Linked DNA regions of Sus scrofa. The protein of the gene in region 1 interacts with the protein of each later gene in a pairwise test. Links are inferred from orthologs where the notes say so. Each region holds a gene or a part of one and is shown in the gene's direction. Other genes may lie near its edges. The genes, in order: NME7, FKBP6, C4H1orf189, KRT18, CCHCR1, FOSL1 and NAB2.

Region 1 (4,127 bases):
TGCTGTTGTGGCTGTGTTGTAGGCCAGCAGCTTAGCTCGGATTCCACCCCTAGCCTAGGAAACTCCAAATACTGCGGATGCAGCCCAAAAAAGGGGAAAAAAAAAGGTATTAAAGTAATTACCTTCTCAGGAGACATGGACACTATTTTGTTCACTACATGACAGAGGAGCTTCTGTTTAGATGTTTAACAAGTGACAAAAAATTCATAATAACTTAATTTGCATTTCTTGGTAAAAATTAAAATGTCATAGCATATATTTTCAGAATGTATGCATGACCTTACTAAATCTTAGTCTTACTAAGATTCAGGCGAGAACATGAGAAGGAAGGTAATACTAATGCAGTGATCACGAATGATGAACCAGGCACTAGATGACAAATGGTTTCACTCACAAAAATGATAACTCTTGAGTACTCGATATAACTCAGCATAGCGTCTTCCGTGCCTACCTTCCTTAAAAGTCACACCCCCGCCGCCACTGTTCTGAAAAATAGCTCTCCAAAGACCCTTCGCAAGAGCAATGAACCCTCGGAAGATGCGCAGGGAAATGTACAAAGGTCTGCAGGCAAATACTAATTGAAGGGGGTGGGGGTGGGTCTGGAGTGTGTAACAGGTATGAAGGTGGCAGGAGTGGAAGCGACAATCCTGTCAACCTCTGCCATCCCCAGAAGTCAAATCCAAAGTTCCGTCCCTGTCTGAACAAACCTTCCTGGAACAACGGGCAACCTTTCCTTAAATCTAAAGCGACTGAATGAACAACACACTTCAATCCAAACCTCTGTCCCTTTCCAAAATCCCCTCTCAGTTACACAAGCCCTTTCCTGGACTTACCTCTCAGATTCTTACTCTCCCAATTGCAGGGGGCCTCACTTTACAGGTTCTTTGGCTAGATATCACGGGTTAACTTCCGCGCACACTCCTCTAGCATTCCGAAGCCGATCCGCCCCAACCTTGGGGACATCAAGCTTTTGGTTCACGGCTAATTACTTCCGATTACTCAGGGTTTCGTTTCCGGAATACTTTTCAGAAGGAAAACACTTTTGGTGCCATTTAAACTCAAGTGACGCAGTGACGCAGAATATACGATTCAAGACTTCAGTAAAACAAAACTGGGTAGACTCTTATTAAAAAATAAAAAAAAGAATACTTGGACCCTAGCCGCATATAAGCCTGAACTTCCGGGTCGCCTTTCAACCAAACGGAAGTGATGATGCTGGAAAGAGGTAGGTGGTGTTCCGTTGCTCCAAGCTACGGCGTGAAGGGGCGGGTCGGTCGGCTGGGTGGGCGGAGCTCTATTTACTCCCAGCCACTAAGGACAAAGGGGCGGGGTAGTGGCGGCCCGCTCCGAGTCCGGCAGTAGGTGGGGCTCTGTTGCCAGAGTAACCTGGCGTTGGTGTTGGTGTAGGTGTTTTCCAGTCGCAAAGTTACCTATTTCCTGGTGCTGAGATCCCGAGGCGATGGTGAGTGCAAGGCGGTGTCAGAAGAAAGGCATCGCGGTCTTGTTTATGCTTTGTCCCAGGTCCTGGGGCGTCTGGGCGTTGAGAGGCATCCAGATCGCTTCTACCTTCGGCTGGTTATTTCTTTGTCCCTTTCCAGGAACTGTCCGTGCAATTTCCTCGCTTTCCCTACTTCTTGCAGCACCCTGAATTACACTTTGGTCCTGCTGAGCCTGTAGAGTATTGTGACAGGAAGTTTAAGGCTAAGACACGGAGTCTAGTAGTCTGAGGTGAGACCTTATTTCGGTCAAACATTGGAGATGTATGCATTTTTCATCATTGCATTTTTTTCAACCTCTCAGCTTCACTTTAACACGCTTCATTTAAAAGTATGTGGTGATGTTTATTTGACTTTTTCATGACTGATCCGAATCTCTCTGAATCCTGTAGTCTTTGCTCTCTTGAGGGCCGAGTACCGTTCCACACCCTAAGGGCCACCTAATAATAGCTGCATTTTGCACTAGCCCTAAATTATACAGTTGATTACCTTTTAACAGGAATACTCCATAATATCACTTGGAAATCACTTCTGGAAAATTCACTTGCTAGAGCTTCACCTTCAGAAATTCTGCATGAATAGAAACAGGCTCCATATTTGCATTTTTAAAAAAGCCTATAGATGATTTTCATTCGATCACATGTTCGAGAATGCCAGGTATGGCTATGAAATTAAATATGGAGACCCACCCAGAGTTCCCGTTGTGGCTCTATGCATTAAAAACCAGAGTAGTATCCATGAGGATGTGGGTTTGATCCCTGGCCTCGCTCAGTGGGTGAAGGATCTGGCATTGCTGCAAGCTGCCGCTTAGGATTTAGCCAGAACCTGGCATTGCTGTGGTGTAGGCTTCGGATTGGACTCCTAGCGAGGGAACTTATATATGCCACAGGTGTGGCTCTAGAAAGAAAGAACAGCAACAACAAACAGAGATCCACCCACCACCCCTTCTTTCTCTGTTAGGTCTTGTGTTTCTAGTTCAGAGAAACAGGTATTGAAGGATAATGCTTCCATCTTTGCTCTAGATTTTATTCCCTCCCATTCCTTATAGGACTTTCTGCTTTTGGTTATATTTTTTTCTTTCCTGTGCTTTCAGCCTCTTCCTCACCATTTCCTTCTCCCCCCACCCCCCCCCCCGTGTTCAAGCCATACACCTTAAGAAAATGAAATAAAACAAAAGCACACCCCCAGCCTGTGTTCGTTCAGTTTATTGCCTAGTCCTCCCATTTATCAGTAAACTGCTTGAAAGCATAGTGCTTCCATTTGTATCAAATTCAGCTCTTTACTTTCATCCTCAGCACTCAGTTATCTGAATTCCTCTAATGGCTTCATGAAGTTGTTCTTGCTTAAATTTCTTATGGCCAAATCCAGGAGTTTCTTCTCAAAATTTATTTAGCCTCTCTTTGATAGATGAAGCTCATCATCATTCATTCCTTCTTTTTTTTTTTCCCCACTGGCTTTGCCTACTTTTTAAATGCCATTCTCTGGGATTCATTCCTTAATTTCTTAGTCTGTCCATTTTCTTTGGCTGATTTCATCCACACACAAGTGTTCCACTAATGCCTAAGCATTCATTCTTAAATTTCAGTTTCATCTCAGACCTGGTAAGCATTCATTCTTAAATTTCAGTTTCATCTCAGATCTGGTAAGACCTGGACACTTCTAGCTGGTTACCACAAAGGCCCCTCAAACTCAACCAAAACTGAACTTGCTGTCTTTTCACCTGGCTTTTTTTGTTTCACCAAGTTGATGCTACCACTATATTTATAACCTAAACCAGAAACCAGAGTTTTCCTACACTCCTTTCTCTCCTATGTCTTCTCTGTTCAGTTGGTCACCTGATTCTGGTTTAGTTTCAGATTTCCTCAATTCTTTTTTTTTTTTCCTTCGCTTTTTTTAGGCCTTCACCCGAGGCTTATGGAGATTCCTAGGCTAGGGGTGTAATCAGAGCTACGGCTACCAGCCTATGCTTCAGCCACAGTAATGCCAAATCTGAGCAGCCTCTGCAACCTACACCACAGCTCATGGCAACTCTGGATCCTTAACCCACTGAGCGAGGCCAGGGATAGAACCTACAACCCCATGGTTCCTAGTTGGATTCATTTCCACTGTGCCACGACGGGAACTCCGAGATCTCCTCAGCTTTTGCTTGCACTGTTGTAGTAGTGTCTTTAACACTCTGGTCTGGTAATTCTTCAATTCATTATTTTCTCTACCACAAGAAGGAATTTACTGAACCCTAAATCTGTTGATGTTAATTACCGCTTTAGAACTCTAGACTCCTCATTCCCAACAGTATAAAAATTCAGCCTATCTGGAATGGCATACAAAGCCTTCTATGATCTAGGACTTAACCTGTCTTGCTTCTGTCATGAAACTTTCTTAGACATTCTTTTAGTTACTTGCCTTTTCATTGAACATTCCAAGCAACTGCAAACTGGTGGTAAGCCTCTTTCCTCTACTTTGCACATGCTGTTCCTTCCACCTGGAATACCTTTACTGCCATGTTTGCTAGCCAAACTCCTATTGATTCTTCATTCCTAGGTTAGGTGTTTTTCTTCTTTCTCTACTCAGAGAGAGTTGACTCTTCATTCTTTTTTTGTCACAACTTTACACAGTACACATTTCTCTTAT
Region 2 (4,231 bases), on another chromosome or scaffold:
CCTGATCGGGATGAGAGCCGGGTCCAGTCTGAAAAATAATTGCTTTAACAGCCAGGATAATCTCAGAATTAAAGGTCCCCTCTGATGGCCATCCAACATCGAATGTCGGCCATTCAGAGACACAGAAAGTCTGCCAAGGTCCCTTCTTAACCTGAACTGACAAATTATGAGCCCTGGATTTAACTTCAGTCCAATGGTCGAGAGTCAAACTAAGAGGGGTCGTCACCGTCTGTCCCATATTAAAACTGTAGACAAGGACGCACAAGACAAAGACACACAAAACAGAAACCAACAGATCCAGACACACGCGACCCGTCCGCGTCTTCCACAAGCAGGCAAAAGAGTCGGACGGCCGCGGAGGGGGAAGCTTTCGCTTCAACAACAGAACTCGGTCCTCTGACCGACAGAAGGAGACCACCAGGCGTCCCTGGCTCTCCCCACCTCCCGGGGCGTCCCCCAGGGTGGCAGCCTGTGATCCTCCTAGCACGTCTGCTGATCACAGTCCCCCAGTCCTTACGGTCTGAGAGGACAGCTGCAAACCGAAAGCGCGCATCACCGAAAACAGACACTCAGAACAGAGACGCCAGCCGACACACACACTCACACGTTCCAAAGGGGATCCCTTTACCTCCAAGTCGGTTCTCGGGTGTGAGGGGTAGTCGCGGGTTTCCCGGCCAACGCACCAAACTGAAAGGCCAGTCGAGTTAAAATCCCTCTCGTCCTGACTCGGAAGAGGCGACACCCCAAATCACTCACGAGAAGCGGTCTTGATGCAAACAGCAAGAGGATTTTTATTCCGAGCGCGCTGGGGCCCACAGTCGTACGCCACGCAGGGGTAGAGGACTGCGGCCCCGAGTGTGGAGTCGGGACAGCTTTTATGGGGTTCACAACAAAGCCCGCGCTTTTACAAACTAATCATTTTTAAAATATCGCAAACCAGTCAATTCAAAACTTCGAGAGCCCGCGCTTTGTGGACCAATTAATTTTAAGTTGTTCTGGAGTTACATGTTTGTGCCTGTCTCTGGGTGGGGGAGACATATTGTCACCAAGATATATTTATCAGGATTTTCAACATTTTGTGGCACGCCCGATCTTACTGGGGTCCGTTAGGCAATTGACTTCTCCTCTTTTTATCTTATGCAAGCAGGTTTACAGAAGCCAAACAAGCAGTTAGGAGCAGTTTCAAGAAGTTTCAAGCATAGAGGCACATACTCAGGGGCCTGTTTTTCCCCTTCCACAAAGTTTTGTACAGAGCAGAAAGCAAGCCCTAAAACAGCAAAAAGTATGATCTTTTACCTATAGGGAACAGGGTCTGGAATTCGAGGGCATTTAGAGCTTCTTATTAACTTCCTGGGTTCTGGGAGAGTCAGGTTGCATTTTCATCCTTTCATCTGCACGTGCGTTTCCCCCACAGCAAAGCAGAACGAGGGACGGTGGAAATAACCCAGGGCTGCCAGGCCCGACGCTTCCAGCAGCCCGCCGTTTCTGAGGCCTTGTCCTCACCATCCTGCTTCACCCGGCCCGTGCCCAAAGCTTGGCCACCCCCTGCCCCATTGCTGGTCCTTATTCCTCGCGCCTTTGCCACGAGCCCCGTCAGGCCCTGCTTGTCCTCATCAGACGCCTGATGAGGCTCCACGTGCCCTCAATCTGCGCCCGCTCAAGCTGCGTGCGCCCCGTCACGTGCCCGGTCACGTGCCTTGCCACTCTCCCGCGCGTGCGCGCTCCCTGAGGGCGGTTGGCGGCGTTTGGAGCGGAGCCATGAGCGGCTCTTCGCGGTCCCTGAAAGGAACACCGCGGTCGGGTGCGGACGGTCAGGTATAAAGGGGCGCCGAGCCGCCGCGGAGGGGGGGGGTGCCGCGCAGAGATGGGGGCAGCGCCCGGAACCCGGGAGCCTTGCAAAGGGACGTCGCCCCCAGCCAGGTGAGGGCCCGGGCGCTGGAGAGGCAGGGGCCTTGGCCGCCGGAGTCGGGGCGCCAGCCCCGGGCTCTGAGACTCTGTGTTTCATTCCCCCACCAGTCTCTGTACCAGCGGTTAAGTCAGAGGATGCTGGACATCTCCGGGGACCGGGGCGTGTTGAAGGATGTCATCCGAGAGGGGACTGGAGAGCTGGTGACACCCGACGCTTCGGTGCTCGGTAACGGACCGCAGACCCGCCTGCCGTCCACCCTCGGGAAGCTGGCAGTGCCCAAGTGTTGGCGGGTGTTGGGCACCAGGCTTGGCTCTGCACTTTGATTTTGGAGGCCACGTTTAAAACATGAGTTTTGTTATAATTGGCGTCTTAAGGGATAAGGAGGGAACCCCTTACCCCTTTGTAATGGGACTACGGAGAACAAGGGATCCCACCAGCCCAGCTCTCGAACCTCAGAGCCTGTGGGCAGGCCTCCAAACGTTGAGCGAAGATTTTTCCAATCACTCCTGGTGAGGGGCAGTTTAAGGGCAGCTGGTACTTCCATTATTTTTGTGGGACAATTAAGGAAATTTGATAGGGCGGTGAGGGTGTCTTTGGTCCGTTTACCTCCCACTATCTCTTTCTTCTGTCCCAGTGAAATATTCTGGATATCTGGAGCACATGGACAAGCCTTTTGATTCTAACTGCTTTAGGAAAACTCCTCGGCTCATGAAACTTGGGGAGGGTAAGTTCAGAAACAGAGCTGGAAAAGAAGTGATCATTTGGGGAATTGCCCTAATGAGGGCAACACCCTAAGACCACAGAATGATCTGGAGCGCTGATTCTTTGAGTTGGTTTTCTGAGGCTGGGCTTTGCTAAACCAGCCCTGTTGTCTTCCATGCTTCCCTCCTTGAGACATAGGTGTTTGGGAGATGGCCTTGCTGGCAGAGTTATCTTTGCAGCCTGACTTAAATATTGGGTGCTACACTTTTCTTTGCTAGTTGATTAAGTCAACACCTATTGAATGCCTGCTACCTCCAAAGCACAGGGAAAAGAGAGGAGGTACTGAGGATTAGAAGGTCTGGGGCCAGTGTGGGGGAGGGAGATTAACATATTCCAGACAGCTAAACTGGTGGAGTTTCTAGGAAGTGTAAGCCATATTTTGTGGCAGTGCTCAATTGAAGGTAGAGTTAATTCCAGCTGGGAGGTTCAGGGAAGGCTTCATGGAAGAGGGGGCATTTGACATGATCCCTAACGTTTGAATAGCAATCCCCCCAAGGTAGAAGCTGGGCATGGGTGGGGGCGGGGGCAACACTGGAGGAAGAAGGAACTTCATGGACGAAGGCTGCTGCAGAGCCTAGAGGAGTTAAGGTCTGGGACGGAGGTGGTGGTGGTAGGGAAACAAGGCTGAGAAGCGTGTTGGGACCACAGTGTAGAAAGGCTGGAGATACCATGCAGAGAGATGTGGACCTGGAAGGGGGAAGAAAGTCATTGGCATTGGAACAAGATACTGGGTCGGCTTCCACCATGCTTCTGGTCCCTTCTTCCAGACATCACACTTTGGGGCATGGAGCTGGGCCTTCTGAGCATGCGGAGAGGAGAGCTGGCAAGGTTCCTGTTCAAACCGACCTACGCCTACGGAACACTGGGCTGTCCTCCCCTGATCCCCCCAAACACCACCGTCCTATTTGAGATTGAGCTGCTTGACTTCCTGGACTCTGCTGAGTCGGACAAGTTTTGTGCCCTCTCGGTGGTGAGTCCTGGGGCACAGATGTCAGCACTTAAGAGAGAATGGGATGGGTTTGTATTTCGGTAATTATCCTTATCTGCTAATGATCCTCAGCCCCAGGTTCCACTGAGGCCCTGGGGGGTGGGGGCGGGGAGTTCCCCACTTGTTAGTATTTGTCTGTCTTAGTTCTGGCTTCATGTGTAGGCATGTGTGCTAGGCTGAGAGTCTGCTAGGGACTAGCAGCTTGAGCTGGTCTCTTAGTCACTGTTTGTCTAGCTCTCCCTGCAAGACAGTGAACATTTGTTTCTCAACAGTGGTTTCCAGCAAATCAAGCATTGATAGATCCTGACTAGGGTGACCATATAATTTATTATAGCAGGACATCAGGTGTAAACTGGGACAATCCCAGGCAAACTGGGACAGATGGGTTCTGTCCCCATAACTTAAAAAAAATTGCCTTTGCTTTGTAGTCTTTCACTTAATTCATCCCTTAGAGTTTAGAGCTAGGTCTTCTAATCACCAGCAGTCAGGTCCTGTCCTTGTCATGCTGTTCGCCCTGACTGTCCATGTGGCCTTTGATATCCAGCTCAGGTTTACATATGTATATGATGTCT
Region 3 (4,225 bases), about 14 Mb from region 1:
ATTGAGCCAGAGCCAGGGATTCAGTGGGAAAATTGACTTCTCTGCTATTTCTAAGCTACCAGATAGAATTTTATTACTAACTAGTTTATGAGGTAGGACAGAGAACATGTATGGCTGTGGTTGAATTTATAGAGTGGATAAGCCTTGAATTGATTTCTTCCATTGGCCTGTTCTGCCCATGACTTGCCCTCTCTGTGTTCTTTAGGGTCAAAGCACGAAGTGGGAGCTCTCAGCGACAACACCAGTCAGCAGCCAAAGACCTAACCCAGTCTCCTGAAGTCTCCCCAACAACCATCCAGGTGACATACCTCCCCTCCAGCCAGAAGAGTAAACGTGCCAAGCACTTCCTTGAATTGAAGAGCTTTAAGGACAACTATAACACATTGGAGAGTACTCTGTGATGCGGCTGAAGGACTCTCTGTTGATGGAGCCAGACAGACTGCAGCGTGCTTGCCCGGCAGCCCTCAGGTCATCTGGCTCAGCAACCCAGACTGGATCAGCTGACGCTCCAGTTGTGTTTAGAGCTCTTGCCTAGAAGATCATTCTCCAATGCTTTCCTCTGGCCAGTTTCAGAGCATCAGTTAAGACTTTATTTTCCCTTGGTAGCACTTTTCTCTGGATTTGAATTCATATGTTTTTCTTAATCTTTCTGTCAGAGGTTCCTTGAAAATCCTCACTTGATTTTGATCATGGTTCATCTGCTCTTTTCCAGACTATAAATAAATCCTGAGGGTGAGAGTTGGGGTGATGGGGCTTGGTGTCTTGTCTTCTGGATCGCCCCCTTTGTACACAGTTGAATGGGAACCATTTGGGTTTGAGACACCTAAGAGTTGATTAACAGAAAAAGCATATAGGAACTGGTGGGGAGGTTAGGTGAGGCCATGAGTGGTATGTGGAACTTACTCTGGTGCTCCATCTAAATCAGGCTGTGTTGAACCATTAACATAACTTTCCTGATATGCAAGGATCTGCCTTCCACTTCATTCCATATTGTCATGAATAAATTGGAAAGGGAATGTTTTGACACCTGACAAATTCCATCCCCCCTCATTTGGGGATAGTGTGAGTGAAGGAATGGTAAGACCAATATACTGGTCTGACTTTATAAATTATTTAATAAAATGTAGAGTTAAAAAATAAAGCATGCGATTCATTCCTTTACAATTGCCTTTTAATAAAAGGTATATGATATGCTCTCTGGACCTAGGAGCATATAGATACTCCTTGGGACCCCAAAAGAAGAAAGCCTAAAATTAGGACTATGGTCCTTGCTCATAGAATTGCCTGAGACACTAATAGAAGGCTGGCGAACCAGGATTCCCTTCAAGTCTCCAGGGCAGCAGGCCAGGTGACCAATCAACACTTAGGCCGAGGGGTCATTGTTGGAGCCATAAATGTTGCTATGACTACTGAAACCTCGTGACTGGACTAAACAGAAAGGAGAGCCAGCTCCGTCTCCTAAGACCATATCGAGTCTGTGGACATGTCTATGGAAAAGATGGTAAAAGTAGAAGAGGTATGCAGAGTTGGAAGCAGGGTGGGGTTGGAGGAGTTTCCCTTTAGTGAGATTTACAGAGAAATTTACCAGAAATGGACCATTTCTCAATAGAGGCCCCTGATGTAACAAAGATGGTAAGGACTGGGAGACTATGTCTGGCACGTAGTAGATAATTCAAATATTCGTTGCATTCACCTCCCATAGGAAGTTTGCTACTACCTCTCTCAAAAGAGGACTGTGTCTCCCATCACGTTGGGGTACTAAGGGTGAGGTACTGGAGATCAAGGCAGGTCAACAGAACTCCCTTTTCTTGCAGAGTTTTCAAAGGGCCGTGGGGCTGAAGAAGATGGTGGACAGGTAATCTCTGCTTCTATCCCTTCCCTTACACTGCAGCTTGACCTTTTCACCCTCCTGTTCTGAAGGCACCTCTCGGATCTGTTCCATCTTGTTAGGGGCTCATCAAGAAGGCAAACAGGTGTGGAGGGGGCAAGAAGCAGCCCGTGTTCTCAAAAGCAGAAAAGCCTAGTGGACATCGGGTTAGGCTATATAGACAATGGTTTTTATAACCCCTTGCTTCCCATTCTCTGGAGGAAAATTGGGGCAAGTTTTTGTTTTTTAAGGAAAATTCAATTATTTGTTTTCTGGCATTGTACTAACCATGTGGTTGGTATACAGTTAAGTATTTGTCAAATGAATAGGAAGAATCAAAAGACTAGGCTGTGTACTTCCATCACCTGTGGAACTTTTTTATTTTATTTATTTTATTTTATTTATTTTATTTGTTTTTTGTCTTTTTGCCATTTCTTGGGCTGCTCCTGCGGCATATGGAGGTTCCCAGGCTAGGGGTCGAATTGGAGCTGTAGCCGCTGGCCTATGCCAGAGCCACAGCAACGTAGGATCCGAGCCGCGTCTGCGACCTACACCACAGCTAACGGCAACGCCGGATTGTTAACCCACTGAGCAAGGGCAGGGATCGAACCCGCAACCTCATGGTTCCCAGTCGGATTCGTTAACCACTGCACCATGATGGGAACTCCACCTGTGGAACTTTTAAAAACACACAGGTGTTAACCCAGAATGTTCTGACTAAAACGGTCTGGGATTAAATAAGATAAACTTGTTTTTTTGGTTTTTGTTTTTTTTTAACATTTCTAGGGCCGCTCCCGCAGCACATGGAGGTTCCCAGGCTAGTGGTCCAATTGGAGCTGCAGCTGCTGGCCTACGCCACAGCCACAGTAACTCGGAATCCGAGACGACTCTGTGACCTACACCACAGCTCACGGCAATGCCAGATCCCCAACCCACCGAGCAAGGCCGGGGATCAAACCTTCAACCCCATGGTTCTCAGTCAAATTCATTAACCACTGAGCCACGACGGGAACTCCCAGATAAACCTGTTTTTTAAGGTTTCACTGGTTATATCCAGATTTAGCAAGGATGTCAGGCAACAAGTATGCTTATAGTTTTAGTGGGAGTCAAGATTGATGCAGCCTTTTTTATGAAGGTAGTTTGGTGAAATCTATCAAAATTTTAAATTCGCATATCCTTTGAACTGACAACTTTTATCTCCTTACACATATATATCTGCAAAAGCACTAGAATGTACATTCACAAGAGTGTTCATGACAGCATTGTTTATAAAAATTAAAAGGCTAGAAACAACGTAGATGGTTAAATTATGATACAAAAATACTAGGCAATCTTTAAACAGACTGAAGCAAATCTTTATGTGTTGATATGAAAAATCCAAATTGTGAATTGATACTGCTTATGTAAATATATGATTTTATGTTGAAAAATTAAAAGACATATGATAGAAAAATTTTCTGGAAAGATACACAAGAAACTGATAACTGTTGAAAAGAACTGGGGCAGAAGAATGAAGCTTTCACTTTTCATTTAACATATATATTTCCCATATGGATTTAATTTTTCAGCCATCTGTAAAAAAACCCTTTTTTTTAAATGTCAGCAAAGGTTGTCTGAACAGAGGATACAAACGTGAGAGAGAGAGGGACGTAGGTATATTCCTTTTATGTATCTAGTTACCCTTTCAAGGAGTTTGCAGGCTTCTGACATTAGCACAGAAGTTCTGGTGAAGAAGCAACCTCACTGATGGGTTTTTTGTCTCCACTCCTAACGCCAACCCATTCAACCCTACCTTTATGCCTGGGGCAGGTGGCAAAATTCACATACTCACTGTCTGTGGCAGATGACATTAAGCCAGAGGAGAAACCCATATGCCATCCTAAGGATGCAAAACACCGTGGTACAGGAGTTGGCACTGGCTAACAAGCAACTACTGATGGTGAGTTCTGGCAAAAGTGACCTAAAGTTTCATCCTCTACTGCCCTGTGCCTTTGCCCACTGGAATTCCCAAGTTCTCAGTCTCCACCATTTACTCACCTCTCTTATTTGCCTCTGAGATTTTCACCATCACACCAGAGCAGTAACTCTTTAACCCTAAAACTAAGGCTATTTTTCACTGACTCTTTACATCTAGCTGCAGATGGCACATTCTAAAGTCCCAAGGTGTAGTCTAGTCCTTGCTCCTCTCACCTTGGTAAGACTCAAAACTACTTCTTAGTGTCCAGCACCTGCCTCTCAGAACCTCTTTCTCTCTCCCTGGAGTCCCCATTTCCTGTCATGTCACCATCTTTGTATCCCAGGTACCTAGAAAATTTTCTGTTTCATGGAATGTCCTTAGCAAATATTTGCTGAATGTGG
Region 4 (4,182 bases), on another chromosome or scaffold:
CAGGCCTGGGATGATCCAGGGCCAAGCCCCTCATCTGAGCTGCACCTGCCCCCTGGCTGGTCCTTTGACCCAGCTACTCCCCAGGGCACCTATCCTCCCAGGTCTCCTTGCCTGTCTGCCCCCTCCTCTTCAGTTTAGCTGGCAGCTCATTAAGAATCAATAGGTCACTGCAGAGCAAACAGCACAGACAGCTAGGTAATGCCAGCCCCTGCCTGACAAACCAGCTGCTGGTGGTGACAGGCCCAGAACCTTAGGATTCCTCCAGCTCATTCAGCAGGGGGTCACCATCCAGCTTCAGGGGTGAAGGGAGCTGTGGGAATTTCTCTACCTGCAGCCTTTTCACTCATATCCTGGCCGAAGCTTCCAGAAGGAGGCAGCCTCCACCCACTCCTTGGGATCCAGAGAACCTTTTGAGGAGAGGCAGGGAAAGGAAGAGGGCTTGCCAAAAAGTCCGAGTGAGGAGGAAGAGAGGGCCGACCACCAGGCTGAGGCTCACCTAGAATGTTTCTAGGTGCACGTGTCTGTCCTCTCGGACAGGAGAGCTCCATGAAGATTACCGGCGTCTTTTCACCACTGCTCCCCAGCAACTAGAACAGAGCCTGACACACAGTAGGTGCCCAACAAATATCTGTTGAACTGTACGTGCCCAGCTATTATTTCTTTACCCAAGGGTGTGGGTAAGGCTGAAACACAAAAGTGTGCAAAAGTGAGGACAAGTCCCCTGTTCAAATCACTGAGTGTTTCCCAGAGGCCAGGCCTCCCTGGGATGGAGCTGAGGGAAGAGGGGAAAGGAGACCCCGTTCAGAGAATGAGTTTGTTTTCCAGAGTCTGAACATGATTGGTGAGTGAAGGTGTCTGTGGGTAATTGACAATACCCGCCTATAGGATGCAGGAGGACTGTTGGGGAATCAACCGAGGTGGGGACCCGTGTAAACCAGCCAAATTGAGCCTCAGGATGGCATTTCTCTTCCCCAGGACTCTGGGGGCTCTAGGATTCCCCAAGATGTCCCCTGCAGGTGGGAACTTGGGGTGCAGGCTGAGCCCAGCTAAAGCAGACACACTCTTCTCCGGACCCTCATCCCCCAAATTCTCACAGGCTGGATCTCCTCTCCCTGGGGGTAGGGTGGGGGTACAATATCATCATTTCTTGCCGTGAAAGCACAGCTGCCAGAGCCACCTTCACCTGCTGCCCTTGCGGGTCTCCATCCCGCTCACTCACCCCCTTCCCGCAGGGTGGAGGGTGGCCGGGGCAGGGCAGGGCTGAGGGGGCGGGGAAAGGCTGGGGAGGGTCAGGAACCATGGGCGATGATTCCCCGCTGTTCACCTGTGACCCGGGCTTCCGTAGCGACTCCGGTGGCAGGGGCGGAGCCTGTCCGGGAGGTCCCCTCCCCTTCCCTCGGAGCTATAACTTGAGTTGCGAACCTAACACCCTCCACGGCCCAGCACCTGAGCTCTGGTCTCGCTCTTCCCTCGCGGAATAAGCAACATGAGCTTCAGCACCCAGTCCTCTTTCTCCAGCTACCGGTCCGTGCAGTCGCCGGGCCACCGGGTCCGACCGGTCAGCAGCGCGGCCAGCGTCTATGCAGGCGCCGGGGGCTCGGGCTCCCGGATCTCCGTGTCCCGCTCCAGCAGCGTCCGGGGCGGGAGCGGCTGGGGGGCCGGGATGGCCGGGGGTCTGGTGGGTGTCGGGGGCATCCAGGGCGAGAAGGAGACCATGCAGGACCTGAATGACCGCCTGGCCTCCTACCTGGAGAGGGTGAGGAGTCTGGAGGCTGATAATCGGAGGCTGGAGATCAAAATCCGGGAACACCTGGAGAAAAAGGGACCCCAGGTCAGGGACTGGAGTCATTACTTGAAGACTATCGAGGAACTGAGGGCTCAGGTAAGAGGGCAAGGAGGGAGCAGCCCCAACTCCCAGCCCTGATGGATCCTCCAGTTGTCGGCTGCCTTCCCTCTTCCTCCCCCTCCCCCAAGGATAGCAATTCTAACAGAGTGGGGTACGTTCACTCCTTCCCCCATCTCCCACCCCTCCTGCAACTCCGACTGGGGGGCTTAGGAATGCCCCAGATTTCCTTACACACCTCTGGCCACCGGGCTCCCAAGGGTGGTGAATGAGCAGGAAGGGCTCTTCCCCAGGAGAGAGCCGGAAGGGGAGGTGGGCATTTGCAAAAGAGTGGACAGCATGGAAGGAGGTGAAACAGGAGCGGAGAAGGGACAGCTGGAGGGGTTAAGCGGATGTGGCTAAAGCTGAGTCATCTAGGAGCAAACAGAAGGCCTACCTGTGGGAGAGACCAGTGGGGGAGGGGGGCCACTGAGCAGGTGCTCTCGCAAGAAATGCTAGGAGAAGGCCAGGAGCAGGCTTTTTAGCAGCTGCTCGTTTCTGGGCAGGCCAGCCAGTGGAGGCCTGGAAAGGAAGGGCAGCAGGAGGTGGGAAACGCTGGGATTTGGGACTCCAGGAAAGGAGGGGACAGTGTGAGGGGGCACAGGTGGAAGAGGAGAGGTATACAAGGAGAGCCTCTGGTTACCCGGGGACCAGGAAGGTTGTTTTACTGAGACACATGACACCTCCCAACGTACTCAGCCCTCCCCATCAACTTCCCACTCACCGAGCAACCTCTCTGTCCATCCCCCCAGATCTTTGCAAGTTCTGTGGACAATGCCCGCATCGTTCTGCAGATTGACAATGCCCGTCTCGCTGCTGATGACTTCAGAGTCAAGTAAGGATGGGGGGCTGGGGGCTGTGATCCGGTGGGGTTCACAGTGGGATCTTGTGCAGCTGTAGGTGGAGCTGGATGAGTGAGAGTAAGGCTCCGTCAGTTCACTTATTCATGAGCCCCAGTTTTCATACCCAAGTGCCAGTACCCAACTGCCAGGAACTGTGCTCTGAGGATTGTGATCGCCTGATTCTTGAGCCAGGTGGCTGGTTTGCAGTGGTCATGCAGCTGCTCTTAGGAGGTGGCCTGGGTTGAGAAGGTTCTGGATCAGAGACGAGGCCCTTCTCATCACCTCCACTCCCACAGGTATGAGACGGAGCTGGCCATGCGCCAGTCTGTGGAGAGCGACATCCACGGGCTCCGCAAGGTCATTGATGACACCAATGTCACTCGCCTGCAGCTGGAGACAGAGATCGAGGCTCTCAAGGAGGAGCTGCTCTTCATGAAGAAGAACCACGAGGAGGCAAGCAGGGGCCGCAAGACAAGTCTGGGTCGGGGAGTAGAGGGAGCAGGGCCCCTGCAAGGATTCTTATTTAGAACTACCAGCCTGAGCACATCTCCATCAGATTCTTGCCATGCTCGGTGGCTCACCTGAATGTGGTGAGGTCAAAAGGATATGGATGAGGAGTTCCCTTGTGGTGCAGCGGGAAGGGTTGAAACAGGAGCAGTAAAAGCAAGCAGTGATGGAGAAAGATACAAGGAGCAGATCAGTAGACGGAGGAACAGGGCGAAGGGAGGTGAGAGAAACCACTTGTGATTGATTTGTGATTGACAGGTATGGGCGGGACAGGTGATATTTACCCATCTCGAGCAGAAGGCCCATAACTGGCATTGCCCAGAGAGCAAAGTCAAGGGCATCCTCTGCTTTGTTGTCTGGTCGGCCCTGTAGGCTTCCTGGAAGAGGCAGCCCCGGATGAAGAGTCTTCCTGGATCTCCGACCCTCAGCCCCTCCTCACTTCCATTCCTCTCTCCTTTAGGAAGTAAAGGGTCTACAAAACCAGATTGCCAACTCTGGGTTGACCGTGGAGTTGGATGCCCCCAAACCTCAGGACCTCAGCAAGATCATGGCAGACATCCGGGCCCAGTATGATGAGCTGGCTCAGAAGAACCGAGAGGAGCTGGACAAGTACTGGTCCCAGCAGGTGCGTGAAAGGAAGGGATGGATGCCCAGCGAGGCACAGAGGCAGGAGGGGGCGGGAGGGAGGAGGACAGAGGAGGGACCTGAGCACCATGTCCACCCTGCAGATTGAGGAGAGCACCTCAGTGGTCACCTCACAGTCGGCTGAGATTGGAGCTGCTGAGATGACACTCACAGAGCTGAGACGGACCGTCCAGTCCCTGGAGATCGACCTGGACTCCATGAGAAATCTGGTGAGAGCCCTCACTCAGTCCATCTGTCCCCACCACCCTTGGTCCTGACCTCTGTCACCCAATCCTGTCTCAGCCCCAATCCTCCCCTTCCATCATC
Region 5 (4,259 bases), on another chromosome or scaffold:
TGCAGCCCAGAACTGCCATTGCCCAGGCATAAGGCTGCTCTGCTCACTCCTCACCTTGGCTGCTATGGTCCTCCAGGCTGACCCTCCAGTCATCACCCCGGCGCTCAGCGTGCAGCTCCGCGTGGACTTCCGAGATGAAGCCGGGCTCCTGCTGGGGCCGCAGGGCCACATCACACAGGTCGGCCCTGCAGCCCAAGCGGTAGGTGCAGCCAGCCCCACTTGGGGGGTGGAAGGTGTAAAGGTCGACACCCCTGCCGCCCCCTATGCGCAGCAGCTGGAAGCAGGGCAGCATGGGCGGTGCCCCCTCTGCACCACCTCTTCCACTTCAGGAATCCATCACTTCCCAATCCTGGGCCATGCACAGCTGGCCTAAGTTCTCTTTCCCTCTGATGCAGAGTTGAACTGTGCTTTGTGCAATCTCAACCTTGGGCACGCTCCCCGAATAGTGTAAATTCAGAGTGCAAGGGCCTAGGATTCGATGCAAGATTGGCTGTCAACAGTTTTCCAACTGAAAAATTTCGTGAGGGTCCCAGTATAGTGCAAAGACGAAGATGTCCTATGGCACGAAGTTGAATCAGATCCTCAGGCTGCAGAATATTCCGGGAGCCTTCAAGTCTGTGCCAGGCAACAATACGTTAGGCAGCTTCTGGGGAATATGCGAATTGCAAGGGGGGAGGACTGGGGTCCTGCTTCTGTGTGATACTAACTTGTCACCTCAGTGTAATTTGGAGAAGTTTCCTGTCAATTCTGCTAATCCAAACAGAGTAACCCACCTGCTAGCCTGCGCCTCGCTCTTCTGGCCAACCCCTCACTCATAACTAGATAGCTTAAACCCCCGTGGGAAGTCTATCCACTGTCATCCCTCCAAAGGCAGTGCAAATGGGTCTCTATGTTCTCTAACAAAGCGGATCTAAACCCCTGCTTCCCGACTTCTCCAGGTGGGATTAAAGACAGGATAGGGCTTCCCGGGATCATGCGAGGGAAACCCAGCCTTTTCCCTCCCCGCCGCAATCCAGATTCTTATCTACCGCGAGGTGCAGTCTCGAAGCGGTCCCCTCTCCGGGCAGTGCCAGCCTGTGCGGCAGCTCAGGATCTCTCAGGCTCCGGCCAGGGCTGGTGCTCCAGCGGCTGTTTGACAGCGAGGAAGCCGGGGCCAGGAGGGGCGCCGTCTCCGCGCGCGGGCAGTACCGACCCCGCCTTCGGAATTCCCGGGTCTGAACTTCGCGCCGAGAGAGCCCGCCCCCCGTGCCGTTTCTGATTGGCCATCTCTTTTGCCCTCCTTCTCTCCATTGGGCGACGCGCTGGGAGGGTCTCCGATCTCCCGCCTTCCGCTTTTTCTGATTAGTTCACAAGTTTTCCCGGGTTCCCGGAGTTGGGAGGAGCCGCCAGGGCGCGGAGATGCCCTCAGTGCCATAATTGGGCCGGGCTTTAGACTACCGCGCCTGCGTACACCTCTTCCCCTCCTCCTCCCGGAAGGGTGAAGGGCTTTAGAGCGTCCCGCCAACCTGCCCGCTTTGCGCAGGCGCGGTCAGGGGCTGAGGCCGCGCTTCTGAGCTAGGGGTAGGGGGTGTGGTCAAAGGGCAGAGGGGTCGCTCGCGCTGGGTAAGGGGTATTCGGGAAGAGTCGGTTGGGGGCGGGAAGGGCCAAGAGGGGGTGCGGGGGTGGGTTCAGGGGTCCACAGGGTGGAGGGGTACAGGGTCCGGGTAAAAGGACAAATGAAGTGGTCAGAACAGCCCTAGAGCTCCTCGTCCAGCAGGGCGAAGGCTCAGGAGTATCTGCGGGAGAGGCGGGAGGGAGAGCAGGCAATTGAATTGAGAGATGAGCGTGGGGGACCAGAATAATTCCTTCTGGATCAAAGCAAATTAGGATGTAGGGAGGGGCATAGGAATCTCAGATTGGGGGGGGGAATAGATGGATTCGGGTGGGAGGGTGGGGAGATCTTGAAGAGCCGTCTCTTGTCTGGGGCTCTGGAGAGGCTGGTGGGAGACAGGAATGGAAACTGAGAGGACAGTAGAGAGAAACTGAGCAGGGAGTTGCTGGAAGGGTTTGGATGAGATGACTTTTCTGCCAAGGGGTCTAGGCTGCCTGGATTCCCTGGGGGCCCCATAGGTGTCCTGCTCTACATGTAGCCATGCTCATCTGGGGCCAGGCTTTGGATCAGCGCTTTGATAAGGAAGGACCCAGGAGTCATGGCTTGGTGGTGTCTGGATGGGCTTCCCCAAGGCCTTGCTGAGCCATGGAGAGAACTCCGGCGATTGGGCTCACAGCCCCTGCACCGCACACCTTCGTCATCTCCATCCAGGAACAGCAGAGACTGTAGAAACTTAAGGAGGAGGGTAAAGGCACTGCCCAGAATTCTACAAGTATGAACAAAACCTAAGAGCTTCCCAGCCTGTCTCAGTAAATTTGTTCCATCTCGTGGCTGTTGCCATAGTTCTGTTAGGAACCAGATTGAGACAAGCAAGTGATTTTCAGATATTTCCTGCTTCTTTTGGGAAGTAGGAAAAGAGGAGCTAAGAGTCGGCCATCCCTGGCTGTTATTTAAGGCTTTTGACTTTGCTGTTGTAGGGGCTCTCTCTTTGGAAGGGGGCTTGAAAATTGAATTGGAGTGTCCTTGTTTCTCCTATTGTCCAGGAGAACATAGATGACTGGACACAGAATCTAGAGACTTCAGATGATATGGAGATGTTTCGACGTTCAGGTCAGTGGGATCTTGCAAGGGAACTGGTGATTGTGTCCCCCTGGGAAACTGACCATCTTTGTCCTTACGATTCCTCAGGTTCCACCAGGCTGATACCCCCATCCCACTTCCAAGCTCGGCCCCATCCAACTCTGCCGAGAATGGCTCCCCCTTGGGTCTCAGACATTCCCTTGGTCCAGCCCCCGGCCCATCAAGATGTCTTAGAGAGGCTGTCAGACAACCAGAGACCTCAAGTGACCATGTGGGAAAAGGAAGTTTCTGGCAAAGGGCAGGAGCCAGGGTGGCGAGGCAGGTAGGGATCTCCTGTTGCTGTTTTCTCGGGCTTGCTTGCCACTGTCCCTTCTTCACTGAAATAGATTCCTTTACCCTATTTCAGCCCTTCATTCCATGATTTCTTCATTTGTACATAAGCAATTGTTGGTGCCTACAGTGCACAAATAATAATAAGATGATGTGCTTGATGCTAGGGACAGGGGTATCAAAACTGAAAAAGAAAAAAGAAAGATCCTGATATCATGGAATTTAAAATCCTAAGGGAAGGAGTTCTCTTGTGTCAAAAGGGTTAAGGATCCAGCCTTGTAAGTCCAGTGGCTCAGGTAGCTGCTATGGCACAGGTTCGCTCCCTGACCTGAAAACTTCCACATGTTGCAGGTGCAGCCAAAAAAGAAAGAAAAAAAATTCTAAGGGAGGAAATAGGTTGACCCACAGCCGATTGTATTAAGCGTAGAATAAGGTAAGATGCAGTACCTGCGGGGAGAACAGGCCATGTGCTGTGGTAGCGAGGATTCGTCCTGAGGGAGCTGTCCGTGCCATCTGTCAGTGTGTTACCTGTGAAAATTCTCATTCTTGATGTTTCATGGGTGTCTTCTCCCAAATGTATTGGAACGTCATCCTGCCATTTTGCTCAAGAGCAGGATTGCAGATGGGTCGACCTTGGATCCCATCAAAGAGAAAAGAGCATGATGACAAAAGGGGAGCACTGGAGTGAGAGTCAGACTCTTTGTGGCTAATGTGGCTACCAGCTGGGAGTCCTTTGGCCGTCACTTAATGACTCTAGGCTGCAGATCTTTGCTTCTTGAACAGCAACAAAAAAATGCTGTTCTGGGCCTCAGTGAGGAAGCTGTGTCAAGAGCCATGGGATAAGCTGGTTTAAACTTTATGCGACACCAGTAGACTGGTTGAGACTATGTAATTTATTGGAAGTGCTACCCTCTCAGACATCTCATGAGTACCTAACACTCAACTGATTTTTTTTTTTTTTTTTTTGACTGCCCTGAGGCATAGTGAGTTCCCGGGCCAGGAACTCAGATCTGAGCCACAGATGCAGCAATGCCAGATCCTTAACCCACTATGCTGGGCCAGGGATTGAACCTGCATCCCAGTGCTCCAGAGATGCAGCCAATCTATTGTTCCCCAGCAGGAACTCAATATATGACTTTCCCCTAGCGTCTGGCCCTGCCATATTGACACTGGAAGTTGTGACCTCTCTTTGCACCTTCCTCAAACTTTTCCTCACCCTTAAATCAGAATTCAGAAGTCAGAGTTCCCATCATGGCTC
Region 6 (4,200 bases), on another chromosome or scaffold:
CCTGAACGCATCTACAGACCTTGGCCTCTGTCCCCAAGGACAGCAGCCCAGGATCCCACCTTCCTGAAATCCTCCTTCCCTGAGGTCAAAGCTGGAACTGATCAAAAGGAGGTACCAGTGGAAAGCAGGAGCGTCCAGCTCTCTCTCAAGTGACCCTGGCGGCTCCTTACTTCATCTGGGCCTCAGTTTCCTCATCTGTAGAATGGGAAGAGACAGAGAAGCAGCTTTGGGGCGGTCCTCTCAGCACCAACATATGTGAAAAGCTGTCTGTGAGGGCTTTGAAATCGCTTGCCCAAACCTGGGCTGGGAGCTCCCACAGCCCTGATTTGGCAACCTGCTTCGGCCACTTGCTTAGTGATCTTGGGCCCTTCATTTCCACATCTCTCAGCCTCACTTCCCCCATCTGTAAAATGGGGACGATAATGGCACCTACCTCGCAGCGCTGCTGGTCTTCGGCTGTTGATATTTGTCCCTGGCCTCACATTCATACAGACTTTTGATGTAATCTCCAAACAAGGCTAGTGACCACACAGTCCTGGAAGAGTAGTTACAGTATTTAAAGAAAATGATGTTTATCAGACCACAGGACAAGTGCCCCACTGCAGGCTTTCACTGCTTACAGAGGTTCTGAATGAAAACTTGTCCTGACTCCTGAAATTACCCTGCGAGTAGGGCAATTACATTGCATAGTATTTGGGGATAGTTCAAAGCATTATCATGTCATTGTAAACATTTAAAATATACACCATTTTTGGAGTTCTCTGGTGGCTCAACAGGTTGATGATCTGGCACTGTCACTGCTGTGGCTTGGGGCGCTGCTGTGGTGAGGATGCCATCCCTGGCCTGGCAACTTCTGCATACCAACGGGCACAGCCAAATAAGTGTGTGTGTGTGTGTGTGTGTGTGTATCTACCACTTTTGTAATCCTGGTTTGTCATTCACTTTTTAGTAAACCTGAACCTTAAGACAACGCCAGTGAAAGGGCTTCACACCACAGACTTGGATGGCGGTAGCACGGTTCCTGGCATGAAATAAGCACCCAGTAAATAATGATAATGATGATAATAATAATGCTATCACATTTGTAACCCATTTTACAGTTTCCAGACCCCTTTCATTCCAACCTCCCACGCGCGGCCAGGGCGCTGTGTGATTATTTCGTCCCATTTTACGGATGCAAACACTGAGGGCTCTGGGATCTGGTGGCGGGATCTAGGTCTGCGCAGGTGGAGGGCGAGGCGAGGCGGGGCGGGGCTGGGCGGGGCGCAGGTGCCTCCGTCGGCGGGGGAATCCTTCGCTCCACCTGGGCGCGGCGAGGAAATTGCACCATGTATGGGCAGCTACGTCAGAGGAGGCGGACCTGCCGCTGTCGCAGGGGGACGTCAAGTCCGCCCTTTTTCCCCACCAAAAAGCGGCTAGCCGGCTGTAGGAGGCGACGAAAAGTTCAGGGCGGACTGGCAAAAGGCGGTGCGATTGCAGAGGTGGAGCCCCGAGGTGACCAGCGCCGCTGAGGAACGCCCCCCCCCGCCCCAGTGGAAGTGGTTCAGCCCGAGGACTTTTCATTCATAAAAAGAAAAGACTCCGCGAGGAGCGAGTGAGTCAGAACCAGAGCCGCCGACACGGACCCCACAGAGCAGCCAGCCCAGGGCATGTTCCGAGACTTCGGGGAACCGGGACCGAGCTCCGGGGCCGGAGGTGCGTACGGCGGCCCGGCGCAGCCCCCGGTGACAGGCCAGCAGGTGAGAGGAACCCTACGCCCAGTGTCCCCAGGTGGACAGCGCCTGAGACGGTGCGGGCCGCTCCAGCACAATCCGGACCGGGGCCGGGAACCGCAGGAGGGAGTGGGGCTCGGAGGGGTGGCAGCGGATCCTGCCCATTCTCGGTTGTCCAAGGGCTCTTTTCCCCCCACAGCCCAGTGGGACGCGCGCGGCGGGGGGGGGAACGAAGATCTGCGAACGTCCCCTCTGTGGCTCGCGCTCTTTCCCCCTCTCTCTGCGGTCTCTCCGTCCCTCCGTCTCTGTTACCGTCTTTCCTTCCTCCTGTCCACCGCCGATTTCTTTGTCCCATCTGCGTCCGAAGGGGACCCCTTGTCCGGGATGAGTTCTAGTCCCGGCAGAATCAAAGAGAACTAAATTCCAAGAGCCGGAGTCTGAGCTGCGGCCGAGATGTCCCCTCGCACAGAGAGGATCTACCGGCGGGCTGGACCCGGCAGACTGGGAATCCTGGGCGGTCTGTCTGTGATCATCCCGGCGCCCGCCCGTTTGTCTGTCCCTCCCCATCCCGTCGCCAGATCCTTATCATCATCTCGGCGCAGTGGAGCCTGGTGGGCTCCGGGAGACCGGCTCTTGACCCTTTTACGGGATGCGTCCGGCAGAGACCGTGAGGTGCAGGGAGACGTGCGCGGGGTCAGGCTGCGGGCAAGTCCCGCGCCCCCGGCTCTCGGCACCAAACGGCGCCCGCTGCCGGCAGGGGGGAACCTGGGAGGCTGCAGGTGCCCATTTCCTGTCGAGGGGCCGTGAGCACGTGTCGCTAGGGGAGGGAAGGAGCGGCGTCCGTTCCGCCGAGTCACGGCAGCCGAGTCACGGTGGCTGACTCACGCGGGGCGCCCCTCCCTTCCTGGCCCGGAGGGGCCCGGGCCTGGACAACCTCGGGAGCTGGAGATGCCGCCGGCGGTACCTTGGCCCGAAACTGGGGTCACTGGGCCATTGGGCCCGCAGCACTAAGCCGGGGACACTGCTGTCCTGACTTGTCTGGGCTTGTGGGGCGCTTCCCGGACGACTGGGCGCCCACACCCAGGGCTTGAATCTAGTTCTTTTTCCAAACAGTAAGCCCCCATCTCAACCCATTCCTCACGTTTCTGGCTGGAAGGGAATTGTGGCAGGTGATACCTGGAGCACATACTGTGCAGCTCTGCCTGGTGCCGGGCAGTTTCCGCCTCATTTATCTTAACTCCTAGAATCTAAGACCCCACTGATACTAAAACCCATCATTATTTTGTAGCACAAAAATTGTTTTCAAGTTGCCAATTGAACTATGAGAGCTGCTATTCAGGGCCACTAAAGGGTACTTCTTAGCATCATTGAAATGCTGTAATCCCTCCCTGTGACAATATTAAAAACGAGGAGACTGAGGCACACTGAGATTAAATAATTTGCCCAGAGAGCCAGTAAATGGCTGAGTTAAGATCAAAGCCGGGATAGCCTGAACCCAGAGCAGTGGTCCTTGTCCACACTTACCAGGCTCTCTCACACACATCCTCTCACCTGATTCTCACAATCACCCTTGAAGCCAGAAGCTGTCACTCTCCTCTTCATGCTGATGAGACTCAGGCTGCGTGCAAGAGTGGGCAAGGGCCTGGCTTCCTGGGCACAAACCTGCTTCCCACTTACTGGCTGTGCGTCTATGGAGAACTGTTTTCCTGTCTGAAAATGAAGATACTGTTGTGTAAATTATATGAGTCAGGATTAGCAAAGTCGTTGGGCCAGTGCCTGGAATTCACACTTTCTTAGCTCCGATGGGAGAAATGGAGGCCCCAGAGGTTGTGTGACCTGCCTAAAGTCACACAGTTCATAAGCAGGGATGCCTGCCAAGCTGCGCCCTCTCTGGTCTCTCAGAACCAGCAGCTGCCTTGAGGGTGGGCAGCAGTGTGACTTCTGTCCCCTGGAAGCCCCTCCGTCCCTACAGACCTCATCCCTAGTCCTCTGTGTCTTATCCCTCAGAAGTTCCACCTCGTGCCAAGCATCAACGCTGTGAGTGGCAGCCAGGAGCTGCAGTGGATGGTACAGCCTCACTTCCTGGGACCCAGCAGCTACCCCAGGCCTCTGGCGTACCCCCAGTACAGTCCCCCACAACCCCGGCCGGGAGTCATCCGGGCTCTGGGGCCAACTCCGGCAGTGCGTCGCCGGCACTGTGAACAGGTAAGGAGCAGAGGCATTTGCACAGGTTCCTGTGCCCGCAGGGCTGCTGAGGTGAAAAAGATAAGCTCTTGCTGAAAAGCAGAACACAGGCTTAGAAGGAGGGTGGGGAGAATAGGTCCACTGGTGACTACTGGCCAAGGCAGAAAGTGATAAGAGCCCCTGGGGAGACCCAGAAGGCAAAGTGGTCACTGGTGGATCAGGGAAAACTTCCTGGAGGTGGAGGCATATTAGCTGAGAAATATAGGTGGGATTTGCATAGAGAGATTTGCATGTCCCTTCCAGG
Region 7 (4,131 bases), on another chromosome or scaffold:
AGAGAATCTTGGCTACTGAAATTCCCCCCAGTGGTGCACCTCTCTTCTCCTGTCCCACCCGGAGACGGGAGGGTCCCCTCGCCAGGCCGGAATGTAGAACCAGCCCTGGCCCACGCTACCCACTCCTTGCTGGCCCGGGCCACTCAGAAGTGCTGAATGATGGGTGGGGCTGAGATTTTGGATTAGGGGGAATTTTGCCGCCCCTCCTCCTTCATTTCCTCGGGGCGTAGAGCCGCTGGGCCGGGCTCTAAGAGACCCCGCCAGTCGGCCCTCTCAGCCGTGGGCGGGAGTGTAATGGGAACCAGATGGGGCTGGGAAAAAGAAAGGGGAGGGATGGTGGGTGGCAGAGAGGGGCAAAGCTCCTTGAAGGAGCTCCTCCCTCCTACTCCTCGGTAGGGAGCCACGTCGGTAGGGAGCCACGTCCGACGCGCCCGGCCTCCGCCGGTCTCCCACTTGACTCCGGCGAAATACCTTCACAGACGTCCCTAGAAGGGGTATCCTCCTCCCAAAGTTGCCACACAGAATTCCCCAGAGGTAGGTCCCCATTCTCAGCAAATAGGATGCTACTAGCGGAAGAAGGCAGGATACCCCTCCCATCCTTGCCTGACCTAAGCACTAACAACCCAGCGCGACTAATAGACGCGCGTCTAAGCAGCAGGTTATGGCAAACCCCGCCCATTTCTGTTCCCCGAACTTCGACGTGGTTTGGGAAGAGTGCGAGGATCTGTGAGGGATTCCTGCAGAGCTCCACGTTCACAGATCTGTCCTAAGTGCACACTCTACGGGAGTCAGAAGCACCCACGAGAGGAGCCGCGCACCCCAGTCTCCCAACTTTTCCTGGCTCACTCCTAACATTCACACGTATAGCACCGCGAAGCCCGAGTGTGGGCAGCAGGCGACCGGGTAGTTGTTTAGGCGCGTGTGCCCGTCGGTGTGCTTCTCTGTGTCTTTGTGTACCTGTGCGTGGTTGTGAAACTCCGCTCTCTGCTCAGAGGGGAAGGAGGAGTGGGAGTAAGAATGTCGCCGGCTGGGCGCTCACGTGGGTACGTGGGCGCGAAGAAGGCCGGCTGTGCATCCGGCGTAGGCGGCTCCGAGCGACCTCGCCCCGCCCGCTGAGTCCCCAAGCCCGCCTTCCACAGCCCGGCCTCGGTCACTTTAGTCCCCAACTCGGCGCCCTGGCGCCGAGTCCCCGCCCCCGCCTCCTGCTCCACACCCCCCTCCCCACATTCTCCGCCTCTCTCCGCCTCTCTGCTGAGGCTTCTCCACCGCCGGCCGAGAGGCCCGGGCGCCCGCCCCCCGCCCACAAGCCTCCGCCCCCGGCTCGGCCCACGCCCTCCGCCCGCCTGGCAGCCAGTGCTGCGCCGGGCCTCGCTCCCCGTGCGTCCTGCGGGGGCGGAGGCGCGGAGAGGCGGCAAGCGCAGCCGGGGAGGGGGGGGGTAGAGGCACAGACAGAGGCGCGGAGGCTCGGAGAGAGGAGACGTGGAGGAAGGGACGGAGCCCGGACAGCGGCGGACACGGCCTCGCGCGCCAGGAAGATCGCAGCACACAGAAGGCGCCGAGCGCCGGACACTGAGAGGGGCATCCCCGGTGGTCTCCAGCCGTCCATGCACAGAGCTCCCTCCCCCACTGCCGAGCAGCCGCCGGGCGGAGGGGACAGCGCCCGCCGGACCCCTCAGCCCAGACTCAAGTAAGTGGGCAAAGGGAAGCGGCGGGGAGTGGAAATGGGTGGAGCTGGACTCGGGGAAAGGGGTCCGGAGGGCGGAGGTCGAGGAGAGGACTAGGGGAAGAGGGACGGGGGTGGGGGGTGGAGACTGATGGAAAGGGGGTGCGCCTTCGAATTAGGGGGCCATGGGAGCAGGCAGGGATCTGATGAAGCTGGATGTGAAGGAATAGTATCTAATTCTCCATTCCTCGTTTACTCTGTGAGCATGACCTGGCCTGTGAGCCCCTGCAAAGAATGTGGGGGCTCCTAAGTGCCAGGGGAAGCCCTGGAGTTCTAGCTGGCAACAGTGCTGGGGAAGAGCCGCTCAGCTGGCACAATCTGTGGTTGGCATGGAGCGCGCCGCTTTGGGGTCGGGAGAAGTCGGCGCCTTTGAACCAAGAGCGCATCAGAGCGGCTCTGCAGGAGCAGGACGTGCCTTAGGCGTCTATTTCCATTTCCGTACCTTTATTTACAGAGTGGGGAGGGGAGTTTCGGTGTGCAGCCCCTCCCTCAAGAGGCCTTGAGTCGCTCCCCCACTCCACTTGAAGATGTGGATGGAAAAAGGGAGAGAGGGGTAGGCGGGAGCCCCCCGGCGGTTTTCGCCCACGGACGCTACCACCGTGGGAGTGTGTGTGGGCGGAACGGGCCGCAAAGCAGAACAATTGAGGCACTTCTCCCCTCCCCTGTGCCTGAGCTGAAGGGATGGGCCTACCTCTGGAGCAGGTGGGAAGGTCACTGCTGGGAGAGGGACCAACCGAGGGCCACTGGGCAGTCTGGAAGAGGGGGGAGGTTCTGGGGAGAGACAGCAGGAAAATGCCTAATCCTTGGGGAAGGCTTAGCAGAGGTGGGAAAAGGTAGCAGAGTAGGGGTCTGCTTGGCTCCTTGAGCTGAAAAGGGCAGGGAAGCCACACCCTCTGCCTCAGCCACATGAGCATAATGCCACCAGAGAATAAAGCTGCCCAGGTGTCCATTGTAGGGAGGTGGGGGCTCATACATTCACCTCAGTGTGGGAAGCTAACTTGTGTAATGTTGAGATTGCTGGGTGTTTGGGGGGAAGACGAGGACTGTGTTCTGGAGGAGAGGGTGGTCCAGCCATCACCGGGGTGTGCTGGCTGGCTTCAGCGCGCAAGGTCTCCTTGTGCCAGGCCAGAAAAGTAAAAGTTGAGGATGGGGGAACAGAGCCTTTGACTTCCACAAAGACCAGTATGGTTTTTAGTACTTCTGGCCAGTTTGGGATGGCATTAGCATGGCTGTGACTCTGAGCAGTGGTTGGTTCTTGTGGTTTGGGCTCCGACCTAGGCACTGGGCAGAGAGAGCATTCGGAAGAGGGGTGGGAAAGAGAAAACAACCGTGAACGTGTGTTCGTACCCAGCAAGGAGGACTTGCACTGACCGCCATCCCCTCTCTGTCCTGTGCCTCCTTCTCAGGCCCAGTGCCCGAGCCATGGCCCTGCCTCGGACACTGGGGGAGCTGCAGCTGTACCGGGTCCTGCAGCGCGCCAATCTCCTTTCCTACTATGAGACCTTCATCCAGCAGGGAGGGGACGACGTGCAGCAACTGTGTGAGGCGGGTGAGGAGGAGTTCCTGGAGATCATGGCACTCGTGGGCATGGCCACCAAGCCTCTCCATGTCCGACGCCTACAGAAGGCACTAAGAGAGTGGGCCACCAATCCAGGGCTCTTCAGCCAGCCAGTGCCCGCCGTGCCCGTCTCCAGCATTCCGCTCTTCAAGATCTCTGAGACTTCGGGGTCCCGGAAGGGGAGCATGAGCAACGGGCATGGCAGTCCTGGGGAAAAGGCGGGCAGTGCCCGCAGTTTTAGCCCTAAGAGCCCCCTTGAACTTGGAGAGAAGCTGTCACCATTGCCCGGGGGACCTGGGGCAGGGGACCCCCGGATCTGGCCAGGCCGGAGTACTCCAGAGTCCGATGTTGGGGCAGGAGGAGAAGACGAGTCTGGCTCACCCCCGTTCTCCCCACCTGCAGGGGGAGGAGTCCCCGAGGGGACTGGGGCTGGGGGGCTGGCAGCAGCTGGGGCTGGGGGCGGTCCGGATCGGCTGGAGCCAGAGATGGTACGCATGGTGGTGGAGAGCGTGGAGAGAATCTTCCGAAGCTTCCCGAGGGGGGATGCTGGGGAGGTAACGTCCCTGCTGAAGCTGAACAAGAAGCTGGCACGGAGCGTGGGGCACATCTTTGAGATGGACGATAACGACAGCCAGAAGGAAGAGGAGATCCGCAAATACAGCATCATTTATGGCCGCTTTGACTCCAAGCGGCGGGAGGGCAAGCAGCTCAGCCTACATGAGGTAAGGATCCCAGCCTCCCAGGAGTGCTCTTGACTCCCAGGCCTTGACCCACTCATCTCTGAGAATGATCACTTCCCCAAGTCTGTTTCATTGACCTTGACCAGGACCCCAGGCCCTGATCCCTTCCC

Evidence for each region.
Region 2: the proteins of NME7 (region 1) and FKBP6 interact in binary tests that used the Homo sapiens proteins (3 or more experiments, as listed by UniProt). The two-hybrid records come from large-scale screens. The link is inferred for Sus scrofa from reciprocal best matches to the Homo sapiens genes NME7 and FKBP6.
Region 3: the proteins of NME7 (region 1) and C4H1orf189 interact in binary tests that used the Homo sapiens proteins (3 or more experiments, as listed by UniProt). The two-hybrid records come from large-scale screens. The link is inferred for Sus scrofa from reciprocal best matches to the Homo sapiens genes NME7 and CFAP141.
Region 4: the proteins of NME7 (region 1) and KRT18 interact in binary tests that used the Homo sapiens proteins (3 or more experiments, as listed by UniProt). The two-hybrid records come from large-scale screens. The link is inferred for Sus scrofa from reciprocal best matches to the Homo sapiens genes NME7 and KRT18.
Region 5: the proteins of NME7 (region 1) and CCHCR1 interact in binary tests that used the Homo sapiens proteins (3 or more experiments, as listed by UniProt). The link is inferred for Sus scrofa from reciprocal best matches to the Homo sapiens genes NME7 and CCHCR1.
Region 6: the proteins of NME7 (region 1) and FOSL1 interact in binary tests that used the Homo sapiens proteins (3 or more experiments, as listed by UniProt). The two-hybrid records come from large-scale screens. The link is inferred for Sus scrofa from reciprocal best matches to the Homo sapiens genes NME7 and FOSL1.
Region 7: the proteins of NME7 (region 1) and NAB2 interact in binary tests that used the Homo sapiens proteins (3 or more experiments, as listed by UniProt). The two-hybrid records come from large-scale screens. The link is inferred for Sus scrofa from reciprocal best matches to the Homo sapiens genes NME7 and NAB2.

The regions. Positions count from the first base shown.
Region 1 is NC_010446.5:81,638,580-81,642,706, forward strand, and holds the start of NME7 (nucleoside diphosphate kinase 7), read left to right. Parts: upstream 1-1,327; 5' UTR 1,328-1,459; coding exon 1,460-1,462; intron 1,463-1,598; exon of another isoform or gene 1,599-1,728; intron 1,729-4,127. UniProt on the Homo sapiens protein: Possesses an intrinsic kinase activity. Displays 3'-5' exonuclease activity with a preference for single-stranded DNA. Does not seem to have nucleoside diphosphate kinase activity.
Region 2 is NC_010445.4:10,668,144-10,672,374, forward strand, and holds the start of FKBP6 (inactive peptidyl-prolyl cis-trans isomerase FKBP6), read left to right. Parts: upstream 1-1,431; 5' UTR 1,432-1,758; coding exon 1,759-1,815; intron 1,816-2,016; coding exon 2,017-2,134; intron 2,135-2,543; coding exon 2,544-2,633; intron 2,634-3,438; coding exon 3,439-3,641; intron 3,642-4,231. UniProt on the Homo sapiens protein: Has an essential role in spermatogenesis. It is required to repress transposable elements and prevent their mobilization, which is essential for the germline integrity.
Region 3 is NC_010446.5:95,529,716-95,533,940, forward strand, and holds the start of C4H1orf189 (uncharacterized protein C1orf189 homolog), read left to right. Parts: upstream 1-1,425; 5' UTR 1,426-1,483; coding exon 1,484-1,516; intron 1,517-1,814; coding exon 1,815-1,855; intron 1,856-3,676; coding exon 3,677-3,806; intron 3,807-4,225. Other genes in the region: C4H1orf43 (chromosome 1 open reading frame 43 homologg), read left to right, coding at 206-401. UniProt on the Homo sapiens protein: Microtubule inner protein (MIP) part of the dynein-decorated doublet microtubules (DMTs) in cilia axoneme, which is required for motile cilia beating.
Region 4 is NC_010447.5:18,216,304-18,220,485, forward strand, and holds the start of KRT18 (keratin, type I cytoskeletal 18), read left to right. Parts: upstream 1-1,382; 5' UTR 1,383-1,486; coding exon 1,487-1,882; intron 1,883-2,634; coding exon 2,635-2,717; intron 2,718-3,020; coding exon 3,021-3,177; intron 3,178-3,691; coding exon 3,692-3,856; intron 3,857-3,959; coding exon 3,960-4,085; intron 4,086-4,182. UniProt on the Homo sapiens protein: Involved in the uptake of thrombin-antithrombin complexes by hepatic cells. When phosphorylated, plays a role in filament reorganization. Involved in the delivery of mutated CFTR to the plasma membrane.
Region 5 is NC_010449.5:23,555,310-23,559,568, reverse strand, and holds the start of CCHCR1 (coiled-coil alpha-helical rod protein 1), read left to right. Parts: upstream 1-1,459; 5' UTR 1,460-1,602; intron 1,603-1,938; exon of another isoform or gene 1,939-2,149; 5' UTR 2,150-2,189; coding exon 2,190-2,363; intron 2,364-2,568; exon of another isoform or gene 2,569-2,634; coding exon 2,635-2,701; intron 2,702-2,779; coding exon 2,780-2,993; intron 2,994-4,259. Other genes in the region: TCF19 (transcription factor 19), read right to left, coding at 55-292. UniProt on the Homo sapiens protein: May be a regulator of keratinocyte proliferation or differentiation.
Region 6 is NC_010444.4:6,428,758-6,432,957, forward strand, and holds the start of FOSL1 (fos-related antigen 1), read left to right. Parts: upstream 1-1,400; 5' UTR 1,401-1,649; coding exon 1,650-1,739; intron 1,740-3,719; coding exon 3,720-3,917; intron 3,918-4,200.
Region 7 is NC_010447.5:22,398,944-22,403,074, forward strand, and holds the start of NAB2 (NGFI-A-binding protein 2), read left to right. Parts: upstream 1-1,331; 5' UTR 1,332-1,604; coding exon 1,605-1,687; intron 1,688-3,129; coding exon 3,130-4,003; intron 4,004-4,131. UniProt on the Homo sapiens protein: Acts as a transcriptional repressor for zinc finger transcription factors EGR1 and EGR2. Isoform 2 lacks repression ability.